Mus musculus: one gene and its partner. The protein of the gene in region 1 interacts with the protein of each later gene in a pairwise test. Links are inferred from orthologs where the notes say so. Each region holds a gene or a part of one and is shown in the gene's direction. Other genes may lie near its edges. The genes, in order: Rtn1 and Ugcg.

The links.
Region 2: the proteins of Rtn1 (region 1) and Ugcg interact in a two-hybrid assay, tested with the Homo sapiens proteins (2 studies listed by BioGRID and IntAct). The link is inferred for Mus musculus from reciprocal best matches to the Homo sapiens genes RTN1 and UGCG.

What each region holds. Positions count from the first base shown.
Region 1 is NC_000078.6:72,307,881-72,311,701, reverse strand, and holds part of Rtn1 (reticulon-1), read left to right. Parts: intron 1-2,772; coding exon 2,773-3,546; intron 3,547-3,821. UniProt on the Homo sapiens protein: Inhibits amyloid precursor protein processing, probably by blocking BACE1 activity.
Region 2 is NC_000070.6:59,213,477-59,217,297, forward strand, and holds part of Ugcg (ceramide glucosyltransferase), read left to right. Parts: intron 1-388; coding exon 389-501; intron 502-3,559; coding exon 3,560-3,738; intron 3,739-3,821. UniProt on the Homo sapiens protein: Participates in the initial step of the glucosylceramide-based glycosphingolipid/GSL synthetic pathway at the cytosolic surface of the Golgi.

The sequences.
Region 1 (3,821 bases):
GATATTTTGATACCTTACATTACAACAAATCTCTATTGTTGTTTTTTGATTTTGCAGGGGGGGGGGGCATGTCTCTCCTCAGAGAAGACATTTACATTTATTTTCTGTGGGGTAGATCTGAGAGACACAGTTACTTTTTCCTAGAAACTTCCTCAGTCATAAATCAAAACAAAACAAAACAAAACAACCAAAAAGCCTTAGCAGGTATCCATGCACAGCTGTGTCCTCCTTAGCCGTTCCCCTCTCAAACCTCATGTAGAACCATTTCTGTTTCAGTGGGAATTTATGGGAATTTGTTTAGGGTTTCAGCATTTTTAACTCTAGGGCTCTGGATTGGTTCTCTTTCTGTCTTTTTTTTTTTTTTAATTTTAGACTTTAGGAGTTTTGGTCTTTGGGAATTTAAAACTGTTAGATTGTTGGCATGGGGGGTGGGGGCTAAAATAAGCTTTGTAATTTTTTTCTTTTTTAATTAGATATTTTCTTTATATACATTTCAAAGTTTTGTAATTTTTACCAGCGCTGGCATTCTCACAATGACTATTCCCCTTTCTACTCCCCAAGTTGGTAATATTTGCAGTGGTGCAAATGGTCTTCCAATTAAGATTGCTCCTACAGGCAATTCCAATGAACCCCATTGGATCATTACAAATACAGATGTGAAAGTAGATAGTGGGCTGTCTAGAAAGAGGAAGGGGATCAGTAGGAGGGAGGAGCTTAGTTAGTTACTAAGGGTAGGATTGGAAAGACGATAAGCAGAGTAAGACTTGGCATTAGATTTAGAGCAATAGCGAAAACCGAGTGGGGAAAGTAAATAGAAACAGACACAGAAGGGAAGGGAGCTGAGGCCCCTCTAGAGGTACGCAGAAACCGTCCAAGGCTAAAGAAACTCCTCACACAATTTGAAATATTTCCAGCAAAAGTTGAGAGATCCCAAGACAGAGAGATCTCAAGGCCAGGCCAATCTGTGGCCTTTGGGAAGTTTGTTGAGAGAGAGAGAGAGAGAGAGAGAGAGAGAGAGAGAGAGAGAGAGAGTCAGAGAGACAGAGAGAGACAGAGAGAGACAGAGACAGAGAGACGCACAGAGAGAGACACAGAGAGGACCTGGTAAAATGCAAATTTGAAATGAGATGTTGCATAGTGTGCCTCTCCTTGCAGCCCCTCACCAGTGGACGGGTCAGGGTCTGCCTCCACACTTCCTTTCTTGACCTTCCCTGTCTACCCAGGTTGGTGTCATCTAGTGAGAGCAGAACCTCTGTGATGTTGTGCTTCCTGTGTTGGTCTTTGCATTGTTCTTTCTACAACCAGAGGGTGTGCTGTAGTGTCTGGAACATTGTATGCTTTAACTAAGAGTAGCTTTTGGGACGTGGGCACTTGAAAGCGGCTGGCACACTTCTTAGGGAAGTGCTTCAGGCCCTAACTCCATCAGCTCGCTCCCGCCCGCCCCACTATTGAGGAAGTTTGCTAGCGTCAATCTTGTCTGTTGCTCAGGCCAGACATTCACCATGTGAAACATTGATTGTTTCTGACTTAGTTTTCATGCTAGGTATAGGTATTTTACAGGTATTCCCAAATGACCACTTTCACAGAAGATGGCACCTTTGTCTGGTATATTCTTTCAGTGTGTCCAGGATTTTCATACTGTACATGCTGTGTGTGTGTGTGTGTGTGTGTGTGTGTGTGTGTATGTATGTATGTATGTATGTGTGTGTGTGTTTACACAGGTGTGTAGTTTATTTATGTGTAGACATTGAGACTCTGAGATTTAATATATAAAACTGTTGTAAGAAAGAATCAGGTCAGCAAACCATTGCCTGGCATATAGTAAGTCTTTATTGACCTCTGTTTGATTCTATTTGCAGTGTTTTGCAGCAAGATGTAGAAACTTTCCCCCCCGTCCTCTAGATAATAATAGTAATAATGCTAGTGCCAATAATAATGCTAATAATAGTAGTAATAATAATTAATAATAAACAGTTCAATTTTATTGCGTTGGAAGTTATACATTGTTGTGGACCTCAGAGGACAACTTGTGGGAGGTTGTTCTCTTCTTTCACTGTCTGGCTCCTGAAGATGGAATTCAGATCATCGAGCTTGGTGGCAAGTGACTTTACTTGCTGGGCCACCTCACTGACTTCTTCTAATAATCAATGCCTTGGGGCAGGAAGAAAGACCCAAGGGAAACAACCTGTAAAGTGAAATCTACCAACTTGTTTTCCCCTGCGCACCAGATAGAAGGAATACTCAGTATAATGCTTTGGTGTTCGCAGAGGCTAATGAGCTCACTGGAAGCAGACACTGAGGGGAAGCCATTGAGGGGGACCTGGGGAAATACAGAAGCAGGCTGTTGAGATAAGGACACTTCAGGATGAGGAGTACCTTTCCCTGTAGACGATGGATGGGCTTAATCTGAAACCAGCAGGACCCTGAGTACAAGGACAGGCCCTTGAGCCCCTTCGACGCACAGATGTGTTAGCCTCCACGAGCAAGTCCTTCCCAGCTGTCTACACCACTGATCATTTTACAGACCCACAGTCACTTCCAAAATCAAGTCAATGAAGTTAGAGCATATTAGTTGTTGAAATACAGTGAACTGCTGGTATCTGTTGCCTAGAAAATACCTGAGATGTAGACAAAGAAAATTAGCATGCTGATGTTCCAGTGTCTTGAGAAAGAGTGCTGTATTTTCTCAGTGAGGGATATCTGGTAGATTAGGCAGGAGAGAAACCTCCAGCCAGGAGCTTACTCATGGTCTGCTATTATTTTGATTGACAGGTATGGCAGCTGTTCCCGATGCCCTCGACCACTCTCCCTCTTCAACACTAAAAGATGGGGAAGGGGCATGTTACACATCCCTGATTTCTGACGTCTGCTATCCACCTCGGGAGGACTCTGCATACTTTACTGGAATTCTTCAGAAGGAAAATGGTCACATCACCACTTCCGAGAGCCCTGAGGAGCCGGAGACCCCCGGACCCTCGTTACCAGAAGTGCCCGGGATGGAGCCACAGGGCTTATTGAGTTCTGATTCTGGAATAGAGATGACTCCTGCTGAGTCCACTGAGGTGAACAAGATCCTAGCTGACCCCCTAGACCAGATGAAGGCAGAAGCCTACAAATACATTGACATAACCAGGCCACAGGAGGCAAAAGGCCAGGAGGAGCAACACCCTGGGCTAGAAGATAAAGACTTGGACTTTAAAGACAAGGACACTGAAGTCTCCACAAAAGCAGAAGGGGTTCGAGCACCAAACCAGCCAGCTCCTGTGGAGGGGAAACTCATCAAGGACCACTTATTCGAAGAATCTACCTTTGCTCCTTACATAGATGAGCTCTCTGATGAGCAGCACAGGGTGTCTCTGGTCACTGCCCCTGTCAAGATCACACTGACGGAGATCGAACCTCCTCTTATGACTGCCACACAAGAGACAATCCCCGAGAAGCAAGACCTGTGTCTGAAGCCAAGTCCTGACACAGTGCCCACTGTCACTGTCTCAGAGCCTGAAGATGACAGCCCAGGATCTGTCACGCCTCCATCTTCTGGAACAGGTAGAGACATTGGTAATTCTTCACTGTGGGGAACACCAGCCTGCAGAGGGCTGAAGTTCCAAAGCAGTTAGTTGGCTGGGCTTCCAGGCATATATATTCCCTCCTCCTAAGCAGACCTAAAGTTCAATTAGATAGCTTTTGGTTACATCCAAGACATAAGTAGCACTATTGTACCCTTGAGGGCATTTTGCTGTGCTGGTCATTGTTGTAGTTTGTAGCCTTAAAGCTATGGAGAATTATTGATCGCTTTTGTCCCTTGTCGGGTTGCATAATGC
Region 2 (3,821 bases), on another chromosome or scaffold:
TAACCATTAAAAACATAGTGATAGCCACTGTCTGCTCTGCAGCCCTTCTCCAGTGTAACATTTCTTGTTGGCCAGTTTGTAGCCTTTGCGCTTCTGTAATACACTATTCTACCAAAAGAGTCAAATCAATGAGCTCATGTTTCCTAAAATATGTAAACTTATTAATAAGCATTTTCATGTATTTTAAAACATTATTTAGATGGTTATAGCAAGAAGTTTCTCTCCTGGGCTAAAAATGTGTAGATTTTTGAAGTTTTATATTCTCAGAATTAGTGACTGATATTTATTAAATCCAAATGTTCTTAATTACATTAATGGACATTTTCTAAAATTCTCTCTCTCTTTTCCCTTTCTCTGTTGTCCCCTTTTTTCCCCCACTAAATTTTAGTCATCCCAGACACATTAACTGACATGGTGAATCAGATGACAGAGAAAGTGGGGTTGGTCCACGGGCTGCCGTATGTAGCCGACAGACAAGGCTTTGCTGCCACCTTAGAGCAGGTAAGTGCAGGGCTTACAAAACGTGCTTGTCACAGCAGCTCCTCCCTCAGACCTGGTTACCTGACCTCAGCTCTGCTGCCTGGTGTGGGACCCTGCTGAGAGCACCATTGTGCCTAGGAGGAAGTTCTCAGGTCCTTGGGGTCACTTACTGCTGAGCTACCCCACCCTGTGGCTGTGCATAGGGGATGTCTGGTGACCCTGTCCCCAGCTGGACACATAGCATCTTCACTGAATTCTAGATGTTCACTCCAGACTATTGTCTTCTATAATGTTCTTTTCAACAGAAAGCTACCTGATGACATATTGTAAAGTATTTAGAAAAAAAAAAAGTTCCTGCAAGTCCTATTTAAAAGAAAAAAACCCTTGATTCCCTGTTTAAATAAGTATCTTAAGAAACATATTTTCTACAAAAACAAAAAACAAACAAACAAACAAACAAAAAAACCAAGAACAAAAAAGAAACATATTTTCTTTTTTGAAATTAATATACAAAGCTCTGGATTCCTTTATGGAAGAATGAAATACATAATTTTGTTGGCTCTCTCTACTCCCTCTCCTGTCTTCCTGCCTCTACTTCTTCTCCCCCTCCCCCTTCACGTTTTTGTATGTTTTTTGGGTTTTGTTTTGTTTTTTGTAAGTTCTGGTACTTAACCAGACTAAACTAGCTTTTCACCACTGGGCTACGTTTTCAACCCTTTCTCTTCAAGGTTATTGTCAAGCTCTTATCATGTAGAGAATGAAAAACTTGTAGAGACACAGAAGAGGCATACCACCCCAGCACCCAAAGGGAAACTACCTCTGCACTGATTAGGGACAGTGAAGATCCACTTCTGTTTGATCACTTATGGCACGTGTGACTGGTTTTGGTTTTGCCTTCATACGCATTTCCCATAGTAAAGCTTCATTAAAGCCATATCTTATCCTGGACTGTTAAACAGAAAGCAACACTTGTCTTTGTCGCAAGGGAAAGGCTCTTGGTATCAGTTTTGATATTTATCCACTTCCTCTTCAGCACATCGTACATCTGTATATTTTCTTGATTCTTCTAATTGCCACAGATCTAAGAGGGTGAAGGCGCATTAGTGTTAGGACTTTGATTTGACCTTTGGCAACTTAATATCTCCCCCCCTCTCTTACTCTTATGCATTCGTATATGTGTGCTCATGTATGTAGGAGGATGAGTGTGCATATATGTAGGGGGGCGTCAGAGGTTGATATCGTATTTCTTTCTCAGTCACTTGCTAGCCTGTATTTTGAGCCATGTTTTTGCGTCTCTCACTGAACCTTGAAGCTTCTCGGTTTGACTGGACTGGCTTGGCTGGCCTGCAATGCATGCTCAGCACCAGTTTCCACAAAGTCTGGGATTGTAGGTGCACATCAAGTCCAGTTTCTTTTTTTTTTTTTTTTTTTTTGGTTTTTTGAGACAGGGTTTCTCTGTGTAGCCCTGGCTATCCTGGAACTCACTCTGTAGACCAGGCTGGCCTCGAACTCAGAAATCCGCCTGTTTCTGCCTCCCAAGTGCTGGGATTAAAGGCGTGCGCCACCACCACCCAGCTCATGGTCTCTTTCTTAACACAGCCTTGGGAAATATTTCTCTCACCGGAAGAGATTGTTAGTCTTAAAATCTTGAGTTATCTGGTTGATAAAAGGAACTACATGTAACTGTTTTAAAATAGAATACCATCATGTGCTTTTACCTTAGAAACATGCACATAGATGTCTGTATCAATGAAGGGCATTTCCCAGAATGCACCCAGTCTACTTTACTTAGAATGAATGGAGATACAACCAGAAGACTCTTCCTGCATGATAAAGAAACCTTCAACTGAACTCTAGTCCCGCCTAGTGCTGTGGCCTCGGATAACTGCTTGCCGGTTAAGATGGATGCTTCTGCTCTAGAAGTTAGGTTTGGTTCAATCACAGAAAGCTCCATTGCTTCAGTGAAGTCTGCATTGAGTGTAGGTAGCAGAATCATGTCTTAGCTGCCTTGTAAAATTCTATTACTCTGCTCTATGTGAATAACTGTGATGAAGGGAGCCTGCTGCTCTGTTCTTGAAGGTAACTAGAAAAGGCAGCATATCTGAGATATAAATAGTAAATAGGGCTTTAACAAGGGTCTAACAAGTAGGGTGGTAGTCAGTTCCAACGTGTCACAGAGAAGAAAAAGTCCAAAATTAGGGGCTGGAGCGATGGCTCAGCAGTTAGAATGAGTTCTGTTCTTCCAGAGAGGACCAGAATTGAGTTCTCAGCACCTAAAATGGGCAGCTTACAGTAACCTTTAACTGCATCTCCAGAGGATCCTGACCTTCCAATCTATAGGAACTCATTCAGATGTACATTACCCCCGTAGACTTACATGAATATACAGAATTTAAAACAATTTTAAGAAGAAATAAAATTTTCCTAAACATTGGTATCACCTATACATGCTCTGTGTATATGCATAGATACTTGTACAGACACACACACACACACACACATGCCACCAAATGTTGTAAAATCAGGAGACACTAAATTTCATTAATATTTTATATACCAGTTAATACTCTTTTATATATAAATTCCATTTTATTTGGAGTTATCTTTTTTTGGTTGTTTTTGTTGTTTTTTCTTCTTCTTCTTCTTCTTCTTCAAGACAGGGTTTCTCTGTGTAGCCCTGGCTGTCCTGGAACTCACTCTGTAAACCAGGCTGGCCTCGAACTCAGAAATCCGCCTGCCTCTGCCTTGAAAGTGCTGGGATTAAAGGCGTGCGCCACCACGCCCGGCTGGAGTTATCTTTTAATGTATTGATTTTAGAAAAGATAGTGGTTGCTTTCTGGCCAGGGAATATGCTTTTCACTCTAAAGGTAACTTTCTTGGTACTGCTGATAGCTGGGTAGTCAGCCAGACAAATCACTGCCCGAACTACAGTAGCGCAGGGGTGTGCTCCTCCTTCAGCACGTCAGGGCGCTCACTCAATCACTTGCATTTAACAGAAAGCTTTAGGGAAAGTTGGCAGGCCTCATAGTTTTAACACCAAAACCTAATTGACTATGTCCATCTGTGTTTTCTCGGGCAGGTATATTTTGGAACTTCACACCCAAGATCCTATATCTCTGCCAATGTAACTGGCTTCAAATGTGTGACGGGGATGTCTTGTTTGATGAGGAAGGATGTGCTAGATCAGGCAGGAGGGCTCATAGCCTTTGCTCAGTACATTGCTGAAGATTACTTTATGGCCAAAGCAATAGCCGACCGGTAAGTGAACTAAAGTATTTTCAGTATCCAGCAAATTCAATTGGCTTACTCTTTCCGTTCCAACCATGGGTTTGGGCTGTTTT